Coturnix japonica: one gene and its partners. The protein of the gene in region 1 purifies or fractionates together with the protein of each later gene. This does not show direct contact. Links are inferred from orthologs where the notes say so. Each region holds a gene or a part of one and is shown on either strand. Other genes may lie near its edges.

Region 1 (4,324 bases):
TCACCCATTAGAAAGAAGGGAGGGTACGGTGGGATAACGGGATTGGGTCCAGAGCTGGAGGGGAGGGGGTAAAGAGGGGTATGGATGGGGGGGAGATATGGAGGGGTATTGGGGTCTATGGGGATGGGGGATCATAGGTTTAAAGGGGTCAGGGACTGTGGTGAGCTATGAGGGGGGAATAGGCTGCCAGGGAGGGTCCCCATGGCACGAAGGTGAATGATTTTGAGGGGGAAAAAGCAATGAGCAGCCATCTCGTTAGGGACAGATAAGCAAAATGAGCCTCCCAGAGCCATGGGATGGAGCTTTAGGGAGGTTAAAACCCATGGGATGGAGGTTAAGGCCCATGGGATGGAGCTTTAGGGAGGTTAAGGCCCATGGGATGGAGCTTTAGGGTGGTTAAAGCCCAGCAGCTCCATGGAATTGTCCTGATATAACCATGAGAGCAGGGCTGGGGGTATGGAAGGCATCCCTTAAAGAGCACAGCCATGTAGGGGAAGGTTGGATAGGAATGGAGAGCTTGCCCTTAATATAGGGGAAAGTTGGATAGGAAAGGAGCAGGGAGCATGCAGAGGAATTAGAGCTGATTTAGGATCATAGACCTGTGATTTAATGACCTGATTTCTGTGCTTTCACGGAGCCAAACCCAACCAGCCCATCTGATTCATCCTGCTTTAGCTCAGCTTTTAAGCAACAATTTGCTGCTGCATCCCAAGTGAGAAATGGAAGCTGGATGAGATGCAGCTGAGCCTGGTGAGGCTGTTAGCAAACACAACCCACACGTGTGGCAGGGATTAACTACGGAGCAATTACACCTATGGGAGAGGAGTGAGAACAAACTGAGTGTGCTGTGTTCCCTGTTGGGGGCTGCTTAGAAGGCCATAGGAAATGATGGAGGGGATCTGCCCCTGTGCTGGTTAGAGCTTACCTGGAGCATTGAGTCCAGTGCAAAAGAGACACAGACCTGTTGGAGTGTGACCAGAGAGGGCCATAAAAATGATGTAGGATGGGTTGAGAGCTGGGGCTGTGTATAAGAGGAGGCTCCATAGGGAGATGAGAGTGGTTTCTCAGTACCTATAGGGGCTATAGGAAACAAGGGGCTGCTCTTTAGCAGGGTCTGTGTGATAGGACAAGGGGAAATGGCTTCAGACTAAAAGAGGGGAGATTTAGAGTGGGTATAAGGACCCAAAGAGGTGTCTATGGGGATAATATGACTATGGATGGGGCTCTTTAAGCTGTGGGTGACCTTATTCTCTGCAGGAGTGTGACCAGATGGCTTTTAGAGGTCCATTCCAATTCAGACCACTCTGATCTGCATCTTGACCCACTTTACCTGCCCCATAGTGGGGCTGAAGGGTCCAACTATAGGACACCATACAGGTCCATTAGCCCCGGGGAGCCTGGAGGACCGCGCACAGAGACGGCTGGGTAGAACGGCAGGAAGGCGTTGCTGCCCCCACCTACTTCCGGGTGCGATCACGTGAGTAGACCGGAAGTGGGAGGTGGGTGCGGCCGGTACCGTTCCGGTGTTGGTTCGGGTCCCGGTTCCGTCGCTATGCGCAAGTTCTTCCAGGAGATCAAGGCCGACCTGAAGTTTCGAAGCGCTGGACCAGGCCAGAAACTCTCGGAACCGACTCGGTACGGGGCTCTGCACCGCCGGTAACCGCTCGGTACCGCCCGTTGGGCCCAGAGATGGAGCTCGGGACCGGGACGTCACGGCTTGGGGGGGGGCTGTGTTAACGAATGGGGCTGGGAGTGATTGGGATCCATTGAGTCCATCCAAGGGCTGGTTGGGATCCATTGAGTCCATCCAAGGGATGTTTGGGATCCATTGAGGCCATCCAAGGGCTGGTTGGGATCCCTACAACTTGATGTCCATCCAAGGTTGTTGGGATCCATACATTGAGTCCATCCAAGGGCTGGTTGGGATCCATACATTGAGTCCATCCAAGGGCTGGTTGGATCCATACATTGAGTCCATCCAAGGGTTGTTTAGGATCCATACATTGAGTCCATCCAAGGGCTGTTTGGGATCCATTGAGTCCATCCAAGGGCTATTTGGGATCCATACATTGAGTCCATCCAAGGGCTGGTTGGGATCCATACATTGAGTCCATCCAAGAGCTGGTTGGGATCCATTGAGTCCACCCAAGGGCTGGTTGGGATCTATACCTTGAGTCCATACAAGGGCTGGTTGGGGTGCTAAAAGCTGTTACTGCCGGTCAAGGGGCCCATAGAGCTGCGTTCTGTCCTGTAGGGTCCCCAAGGAGAAGCCGAAAGCAGAGGCAGCACCGAAGCCTCGACAAGGACCCACCGATGAAGCACAGATGGCGGCGGCGGCAGCGATGGCTCGGATGGAGCTGAAGCCCAAAGCGAAGCCACCTTCCTCCTACGAGGCCATAAAGAACCAGGGTAGGAGATTCCTCGCAGTTACAAGCCTGGCTGGGCTGCAAAGCTTTATCAGTGTTACCTCCAAGCTCAACCAGCTGCTGTAGGTCTGAGCGTAGAGTCCCCATCTTGGCAGCTGGAGCTGGCTCCTTGATGACGAGCCTCTTAGAAATGGGGTTAAGGCAATCAGCTGTGCAATGCAAAGCACTCTGAGGAAGCAGAGCTCTGTTCCCCTATTGCCATAACTGGGATTTTTTCTCTCCTAGTGAGAAAGGAGCTGATGGCTGAGGCAGCTGCAAGTGAGAAAGGGGTTTGTGCAGACCAAGAGGTACGAGCAGCTTGTTCCCTATGATAAAATGAATGCTTTGAGAGTGCTGTTGTTCCTGTCCTATAGATATATGCAAACAACCCACAGCAATCCAATACAATACAAACAATACAATTCAGTTGCACCTGCTTTTGTCTCTTTTAGGACCCAGCCTTCTCGTACAAGGAAGCTGCAGCTGAACCCTCTGTTTCAGGGGTTTATTTCATCTGCCCATTGACCAGCGCAGTTGTAAGGAAAGATGAGAAAGAAAAACACATCAGAGAAGCCATCCAGTCGGTGAGATCTACATCTGCAGGCTGTGCTGCTTCCATTTTAACTCATTTTGTGCATTAATCCCCTCAAGCAATACAGCAGTTACCCTCCTATCTTCTCCCCTATCTCTCAGACTGCAGGCTCTGTTCAGATGTTATAAGTGCCTGTCCCTTTGGCTTGCTATAAACGCTCTTTGATTGTACAGAATAGTCAGTCCACCCACGACTTCTCTTCTTCTTTCCCAGTATTTTGCAGTAGACCCAGTGGCCGCCTCCATCATGGAGATTCACACCTTTAATAAGGATCGGGACAAAGTCCGAGTGGGTGTAGAAACCATGGCCAAGTAAGTAGGATGGAGCACGCAGGGAGCTTGTCCCTTCCCTGGAAGGTTAACAGGCATTGCTGCACTCCAGGCAATGTCTGAGATGCTTTGAGTTGATCTACTGGTCCAAGAGGTTTAGGAGGTGCTGCTTGAAATGAATAGTTTGCTTTCCTTACTTTTCCATATGAGACCTTATGGGCAGCATGTCCTAAAGTGCCCGCTTTGATCCATGAAATACATAGATTCCTCTTTCTGCAGATACTTGGACAATATCTATCGGCATCCAGAGGAGGAGAAGTACCAGAAAATCAAACTACAGAACAAAGTATTTCAGGTGAGATCAGGATTGTTGCAGCTGTTCTGCCTGGGGAACTCATTGCCTGGAGCAGATTACATTTAATATTTTTCCTTTTCTTCCAGGAAAGGATAAACTGCCTGGAAGGCATACATAAATTTTTCCAGTCTGTTGGGTTTGAGACAAAAACACTGCCTGTTCCAGGACAAGGCAAGATATTTAAGTGTATTATAAAGTGAAGGCAGCAGCCTGAGTGATGGGACATCCCAGGGGAGGCTCTGAGAGCTTCACACTTCAGGGCTGTTTTACATGAACAGCCTCTGGTCCTGCTTTTTTCTTGTTAAGGCAGTAGGTTTTCTGGAGATTATTGCCCTTAAATTTCATATGTGAACGTGCTTTTGGTTGTAGACACCACTGAAGAATATTACGTACTGAAGGAAGAAATGCTGACCAGGTTGGAAGACCTTAAGTACTATAAAGATCAGCTTTTAAGCTGTGAGCCGCTGAGACTCCAGCTGGATCGCCAGCTCTGTGTATTTAAACCATCACCTGAAGCTGCCCGATTTGAGCTGCCAAATGACTTCTACAACCTCACTGCAGAAGAGATAAAACGAGAGCAACGGCTCCGGTGAGCAGGTTTCAAGTGAGGGCCTCCACTACCCAGGGGGCACGCAATGCCAGCTAACTACCTTGTATGCCACTTCTTCATGCTAAAAAACCACTTTTTATCTAAAGGACAGAA
Region 2 (3,591 bases), on another chromosome or scaffold:
TGAGCTCTGAGTTACAGAGCTGCAGACAGAGCCTTTTGTGAGCTCTTCTACTTATTTCAAATACCCACGCAGCCATGCCCTCTGTTTTGGTCTTGCTGTTAAATTCTCACTTTGGAAGTTTGTGTAGTTTATTTGTGCATAGCAAAAGCAAGGAAGTTTTGCTTTGCTGGCAAGCAGTCTCTGCTGTGCTTCTTGGCAGAGCATCTCCCCACATGAGAAAACTCGCCTCTGAAGCACACTCAGATGGAGTTGTGTTTTCCAGGCCTGCGTGGCAGCCCCTGAATTCCCTGAACTTCTGCCTCTGTACTGCTCAGAGACTGCAACAAATGAAAGGGCAGGGCAGGACTGGCAGGTTGAAGAGAGCTTTGGAAAATTATATAATCTCTTGCCTTTTCCAAAGCTCTCAGAAGCAGCGATAGCCTGTTTGTAAGTGCTGAGCAAGAGTCTTTCATTCATAAACCCCTGCGTGGTTTGCAGGCCCACCCGGAGAGCTCCTGCAGGATGAGGCTGTGAGTAACAGAGGTCTCTGGAGTGAGAGCTGTCAGAGCTAATGCTGAAGGAAAATGCAGAACTGCTCTTCCATTCCCTGCCTTTCTCATGGTGATGGTTACGTGTGCTGTGTATTTTCCTGTTCTGTTTTACTAGCAAGATTTTCTTTGTGCAGATCGGTACACAGAACAGCCTGGAGATCCTGGAAGATCCGAAAGCAGAGGTTGTGGATGAGATTGCTGCCAAGCTTGGACTGAGAAAGGTTAGGATGGTGCTGGATATCACGTGTCTTTTGTATGGCAGTGAAGAAAGTCACCAGCAGTTCTCTTCAGCTCAGTGGGGCTCCTGAAGACCATTTGGGTTCATATGAAATCTAGCTTAAGTGTTGGTAGCTCTTACCCTTCTAGGTCTATTAAAGAAAGAAAAAAAGCAACCACAAATGTTTTTGTGAGGATGAGCATTCAGGGCTGTTCAGCTGCAGTCAGCAATCCTCTGTCATGAGTGACATCAAAGAGAATAGCAAAGAAGGAAAAAAACCACTATTTTCCCTTTATTTCTCCTCTGACAGGAGCTGTTCCTAGTAGCATCTCCCCAGCAAGTGCTAATTTGGCACAGCTGTAGCTGGAGTTGCCTTCTGAGTTTATTCCTCCTTCTGGCAGAATCTGCGTTCCGCTTCCAGGAGCGGAGGCTCCTGCTGGATTTTTATTCTCATCAGCAGGTCCTGCCTCTCAGTGCTGCTCAGACAGGCTGTGGCGAGCTAATCTGGATGTTGGCTGGAGGTTCAGGTCCCCCAGCATCTGAGCCTCAGTCCTCTGTTCCCCATGTGCCCGTGGCCTGCCAGTAATCCAATCAGGGCATACAGGCACTGGGCTCTGCTGGCTTGCTGACGTCTCTCAAACCTGTACCGATATATTTTTGTGGTTTGGGAAATCATTTGGTATCATGTGAATGCTAGGAATGAGACGTACACAAACAAGAATTGACTTGCTAAAGAACATGCAAATCAGAAGAGACTCGGTGCAGCAGACTATAAACATCTGTGGTGAGGTCTTTTGTTCTCTGAAGATAAGATCTTTAGCATTTTCCAGTGTCTGAACCAAAGCTTCTGTATGCGTTGTTTATTTCCATCCTTTAACTTTGCTTCTCACGCCAGATATTTTTAATCAATGTGATTTAACACGCAGCTTACTGCTGGGTGCAGGTTTTTGTCTGTCTGGGGTCTGCAGCATTGACCCTTCCCCTGAAGGGTTAATGCTTTGGGAGTCAGTCACGAGGGGCTGATCAGAGCTGTTTTTAGCACACGTGTAGAAGGGTTCATGCAGCGGTGCGTGTGTGTGTACACATCTATAGTCCTATGTGCAAACAATGCAAAAAGCAGGAATGTATTTTTTGGAACGGAGCGGGTTGATTTGGATTGAGTCACACTCCAGTGGGAGCATGTGAGCTTTATCTTAACTAGGGACTGCAGGCTTCAAAATGAGATCATGTGAGCTGCTTTGTCATCTGCTGGCACTTCTGATGCTGCTTTGCTCTGAATGCTCGATAGGAAATGCTTTTTGCTGTGGGTGGGAGGAGGTAGCGGCTGAGAAACCTCTTGCAGCCTCCAGATCTTTCCATGAAAAAATATTCCATAGTGAAACATAAAGCTGCAGGTGCCCCCGGCTGGCCAGCTGGCACGCTGCTCCTGGAAATCGTATTCAAATGAGCCCAGCACAGCTGGGAGAGCCATTTCCTTCAGGCAGCATGCAGCAAGGCTGCGCCAGGAGCCAAGAACATCTTGTCCTGCTAGGAGAAAATGTATAAGCTCTCTTCTGTGGGTTTGGGCTTCCTTTTTTTTTTCCCTTCTTTTTTTTAAAGCAGTTTTCTCCATAACGCTGCTTTATAGGTTGGCTGGATATTTACTGATCTGGTCTCTGAAGACACACGGAAAGGCACTGTTCGGTACAGCAGGAACAAGGTGAGACTGAAAGGTGTCACTCATCACCACCACTCGTATCGAGGGTTTGTCTCATCACCTGATTGCTGGCTCTGCCCAACACAGGGAGTCAAGGGCTGGGGGTGACACTGGGGCTGAAATTGTTGTGATGTGTGGGTTTCAGCTGCTGAAGGAAAAGGAGCTGGAGCTCTAAGAGCACCGTTAGAGGGGTTGTTGCTGTTTGGATAGATGGCAGAGCTGCCTGCAGTCCTTCACCTGTTCTGCTTTAAGAAAATTATGCTCGTGGTTTAAGAAAAATTGAGTGGAGAGAGAGTTTCTGTGTCATGCAAGTTCAGCAAGCAGAAGTGGTTGAGTCAGAGGATGTGGGCAGGGCTTTGTGAGGCATGTAGCTCGAGTCCTGAAACTCTGACCTTCTCAGTTACCTGTAATTCTGAAATCAGGGATATCCCTTTAGAAAATGAAACACCATAATAAAATGAGCCTGGAAAGGTGGGTGGAACCAAAAGTGGGATGGTCGTTCTGGCAAAAGTCAGGCTGATGGCTGGAGAGCTGATAAGTCACATTCTTAGTCTCTGCTGCTTCTAGGAAAGCTTGTTTTACTAGGGTGTTGGTAGTTTTCCTTGGCTACAGACCAGGGAAATGGGTCTAGGCTGCATCGTGTTGGCCTTTTTATTGACGTTTCTGCTCTTCCCTCAGGACACTTATTATCTGAGTGCAGAAGAGTGCATCACAGCTGGGAACTTTCAGAACCAGCACCCCAACATCTGTCGCCTTTCTCCAGACGGTCATTTCGGATCCAAGTTTGTCACAGTTGTGGCTACAGGTATAAACAGGTTTCAGCTTGCCCCAGCTCTCTTGATTACACACAAATGATCTTTTGTTAATGGAAGAGGAATATGCAGCTCTGCCAGAGGAAGTCAGTTGTCTTGGTCCCCATCTGTCCTATTTAACAAGGGCTTTGCCTTGTTCCATCAAGTAAAATACATTTTTGTTCCTTCTTTGTGTTATCTTCTTTTCAACTATTTACCCTGTCCCCTGCAGGAATCTCAGTTGATGCTCATACCTGGAGCACCCGCCTCTCTGCTCCAGAAAGCATTTTTTGCCTGCAGCTGAGGGAATATCTGTCAATTGCTTTTTTTTGTTTCACGTGTTTAATCTCCAAGTCC
Region 3 (3,903 bases), on another chromosome or scaffold:
TGAGTTTTGCTTCATATTTACCATGAGTGCCCCGTGCTCTATGTAAGTTGAGGCTTTTCTGAGTAATAGATGGTTCAGTGACCTGATCTTTAACTGTATGAATTAGTCCATAGCTGTCTAACCACTCTCTAATGTTCACAGCAGAGTGTGAAAGCTCCTACAATCAGTAACCTCTTCTTTTTCCCCATTGCAGGCTAAACTCTTTCCAGCTGCTGTCATTCATTTTGGATCTGAGGAGCGCAGGGGTGAGTGAGCTTCCTCTCTTCTTCAGCTGACTGTATAGCGCTGTATAGACTGTGTCAGTATGTTCAGATTTCTTCCAACAAAAGATAATGCAGTCCTTGCCAGTGCTGGTAACTGTTCCCCTTCAGAATAGCTGAAGCTCATCAGAATTGGGTCGGTCTCACTAGAAGTGGATTTGACTATAGTTAGTTTAAGCACAAATATAAATATGGTACATTTCTTGTGAGATTTGCTGGGCCGTGGAGCAGGCATTATCTACTATGAGGACAAAAAATGAAAGAAGAATGATTCTATAGAAGGAAATTTCATGGTAGGAAATGTTAGCTAGATAGCTGTGAGATGCTCATACAGACCTCCTGCTCTCAACCTCTCGAGGTTTTGAATGAATGACAAAGTAAAGCACCTTGAGTTGTGTAAGAAACAGTCATAGTTTGAAAGTGTTCTATTTCTCAGCTGATAGGAAACTTGCTGTAGCATACGGCAGATACTTGTTGAGCACTGGGCTATGTGATTCTGTGATTGATGTATTTTTGTTACCAAACAAGTGATTGGATTTCATTGTTTCATTTTAAACAGATTGTTACCTGAAATCGGATCTGCTGAGCTCTGCAGTTTCCCCTTCTGCAGCTGATTTATTAATGGCCAGGTATGTCAGAGTTGCAGGTGAGTATTTCAGGGAGGGCTGGGGGCATGAAGTGCCTTTCTAAAAAGAAATATGATCTGAAGATGCTAGAACTCCAGTTACTCCTTCATACAATCATATCTGAATTTGTATCTTGATGAGTCCTTCTTTGTAAAGCAGGATTTCAGTGACTAAATCAAGTAAATATTAGGGTCTTTATCATGGAGAAAAGCCTTGTCAGTCTGACTTAGAAAGCTTAAATGCAGTGATACATGGGGCTAGTATGAAAAAAGGAAGTTTAATTTTACTTGTTTGTTTTCTTCCTTAGATGTCTGTCCAAACCATTAGCTCCTTCTGCCTCATCAACTTTAGAATCAATAGTTCCACCCCTACCTGAACCAGAAGTGGGCAGTGACAAAAAGACTGAACGACCAGAAGCAGCAAGAATGCATGAAGCTCCACAGGTGCTGAGAAGGCCCCCTGGGAAAATACCCAAGTGGCTGAAGCTGCCAGGTAACACAAAGTCAAGGGAGAGTTCACCCATTGAACTCCACAGAAACGCTTTCAGTGTTGACACTGCTCTTGAAGATGTCAGCAGGAGGCTGATAGGACGTGTATCAGTGCTTGTCAGTTACAAATCATTTTGTGCCTTAAACCTCAGCCTTCACTGGAGAGGTGCCTGAATACTGATTTCATAAGGAAGTAAAAGTATGAAATGTTATTTGGAATTCCAGGGAACACAGCAGCACATAGAACAAGATCGTGCTATTGAGAAACGATGCGGTGTGAACTGTGTGGTTAAGTGTTTTAATGGCCTTATGTTTGTGTTGTAGGTGGGAAGAGATGAAGCATCCTGAGCTGCAGTGAGCATCCAGTTGTGCCTCTTTCCTGATGAACTACTTCAGAATTTGTAAGAAATTGTTGGTGGCCCTGGAGAGATTTAACACATATGAACATTAATTATATCCAGAAAATTGCTATTACTTTCAGCTGCCAGCTTCACCTTTTGGAGGCCTTTTTGAAAGGCCTGTTTATGGGCTTTGTGACTACAGAAGCAAGATTAAAGGTTAAATGTAACATTTCCTGCATGCAAATAATATGAATGGAGAAAGGAAGGGAAAATAATTCCTAGGTAATGTCTGTGAAGGCCTGCGATTCCACCCATGTTTTTAAATTCAAATCCTCCTGTATTTTGCCTTTCTGTTCTCAAAGGTAACTTCAGTCTGGTTGCTTGAACTCAAGCAGCAAAGTCCAATTCAATTTTACCTGTAGTTTAGTGCTGACTAGAACAAGACACCTCTGCTTTTTGCTGGTGATTCTGGGTATAGATGGCTAGAAAGTGGGTTTAAGGGAAGCACATTGCTTACAACAGTTCAAATTGCATTTTCCTATGAAACTCTTGGTCTACTGCACTTACATTGTTTTCATTTGCCTTAGAACACAGGTATCTGTTAATGGAACTTTCTCTGCACATAATTTATGCCAGCAACTGTGGATATAATGCAGGGAAAAAAATAGTCCTATGTGAATCTCTTTGTGTGACCATCAGTCCACAAGTGTCTTCTGTGGTCTGAAAGCTTCCACAGCAGAGTGAGCTGTTCCTTGCATTGCAGTTGGTGTACAGAGGGAAGTGCTGGTCCTGAATTTGCCTCCTGCAGATGCTGCAGTGGGATGAGTGTTACTGTTTAGAGCTGTGCTTACACTGGAGATTATAGTGCCACAGTAGCCATGGTGCTTTATTATCATTCTTTTTTTTAAGTCTTCTCCATGGATCGGTGATTCATATTGGGCGAGCTGGGGTTCCATGTTATGGTAACAGCATATTTTCCATTTTCCCTGTACAGACAATTGTTCTCTAAACTATGTGTGCATCTGCACAGTTTTGAGATGTAATAAAGTACAGTGGCCAGAGGAGGCCTTTTTGTCGGTCTCTTTGATAATGTGTTCCTTCCCCCAGTGCTCTGTTTCTCTGTCAGTTCACAGGAACCTGCTCTCTTTTCAATGGGCCTGTCATGCCTCATTCCCTTCCTCTCATTTTTTTTTCCCCCAACAAAGCAAAACAGAGCTTTGTACCATCTGAATGAACTTCAAAGTAGCTAGAAAGGGCACCCAGGGTTCCTGGCACTTGTCATTGTCTCCCAGCCTGGCCAACATTTCCCTTCAGGTCTAATTACTTCCAAATGCTCTTAGATGCTTTGAAGAAACTTGAAGGGAGGGAGAAGCATGAAAGGTGGAAGAGGAAAAAGGAGACTTAAAGCGGAGGGAGCAGAATGCTTCAACAAAAATGTTGATTGATTCCTTATATGACACCCAAACATAAACAAGGAATGTGTGCGGCCACTGGCAGTGAGAGAATACAAGAGCGCTGTGTGCAGACATGCTGCTCTAAGTTCTTCCTTTGAAAGGCAAGCTCTTGTGGTGCTTGATGTCTATAAAAGGTGTATTATAGCAAAACAAGGCCAAAATAAAATGATGTGTAAAGCTTACTACTTCAGATGGTTGTGTGGGCTGAGCTTGCTGTCTGTTCCTTACTTCTGGTGCTCTGTCCTGCTGATTCCTTTCACAGGAGTTACAAGTTATGCTGCAGCTACAGCTGCTGTGCTGAGTTTGTGCAGGATGTATTGCAGGTCCACCAAGAGAGCTATAGGTTGGCTCCCAGCACAGGCACTGATGTACTCGTGCTGGTGTTTGAATCACCGGATTAAGAGTAAATAGGAGTGTTCTGGCAGCAGGAAGCTGCGCTGGGTTTCAGGTGTGCTACTCTTTGTTTTTGAAGAGCACAGGCAACGTGGAGTGCCTTATCTGTTTTGATTTCATGTTTTGTCACTTGTATGTGGTACAGGCAAAGAGAAGGAAATGTCTGGAGGCATGAACAGCGCTGTCAGTACTACTGGGGCAGTTTCTTGGGTTAAGTACAGGAATGAGCATTAGAAGGTTAATATCTGGTCTGTCTTGACCCAACTGCTGCTCACAGAGTTAGGTATGATTCAATCTGACAGAGGCACAAACACATCCCGGCCCAGTTTCTTCTCTGTATC

Evidence for each region.
Region 2: the proteins of UBXN6 (region 1) and NPLOC4 purify together in Homo sapiens (affinity purification with western blotting; 3 studies listed by BioGRID and IntAct, with this or other methods). This does not show direct contact. The link is inferred for Coturnix japonica from reciprocal best matches to the Homo sapiens genes UBXN6 and NPLOC4.
Region 3: the proteins of UBXN6 (region 1) and ASPSCR1 purify together in Homo sapiens (affinity purification with mass spectrometry; 4 studies listed by BioGRID and IntAct, counting the BioPlex papers as one, with this or other methods). This does not show direct contact. The link is inferred for Coturnix japonica from reciprocal best matches to the Homo sapiens genes UBXN6 and ASPSCR1.

Annotation. Positions count from the first base shown.
Region 1 is NC_029543.1:1,643,076-1,647,399, reverse strand, and holds the start of UBXN6 (UBX domain-containing protein 6), read left to right. Parts: upstream 1-1,463; 5' UTR 1,464-1,552; coding exon 1,553-1,635; intron 1,636-2,254; coding exon 2,255-2,409; intron 2,410-2,651; coding exon 2,652-2,713; intron 2,714-2,857; coding exon 2,858-2,989; intron 2,990-3,210; coding exon 3,211-3,308; intron 3,309-3,545; coding exon 3,546-3,621; intron 3,622-3,707; coding exon 3,708-3,792; intron 3,793-3,990; coding exon 3,991-4,210; intron 4,211-4,317; coding exon 4,318-4,324. UniProt on the Homo sapiens protein: May negatively regulate the ATPase activity of VCP, an ATP-driven segregase that associates with different cofactors to control a wide variety of cellular processes.
Region 2 is NC_029533.1:5,193,621-5,197,211, reverse strand, and holds part of NPLOC4 (nuclear protein localization protein 4 homolog), read left to right. Parts: intron 1-664; coding exon 665-751; intron 752-2,374; coding exon 2,375-2,446; intron 2,447-3,121; coding exon 3,122-3,248; intron 3,249-3,591. UniProt on the Homo sapiens protein: The ternary complex containing UFD1, VCP and NPLOC4 binds ubiquitinated proteins and is necessary for the export of misfolded proteins from the ER to the cytoplasm, where they are degraded by the proteasome.
Region 3 is NC_029533.1:4,364,194-4,368,096, reverse strand, and holds the end of ASPSCR1 (tether containing UBX domain for GLUT4), read left to right. Parts: intron 1-193; coding exon 194-245; intron 246-819; coding exon 820-889; intron 890-1,193; coding exon 1,194-1,378; intron 1,379-1,698; coding exon 1,699-1,712; 3' UTR 1,713-3,359; downstream 3,360-3,903. UniProt on the Homo sapiens protein: Tethering protein that sequesters GLUT4-containing vesicles in the cytoplasm in the absence of insulin. Modulates the amount of GLUT4 that is available at the cell surface. Enhances VCP methylation catalyzed by VCPKMT.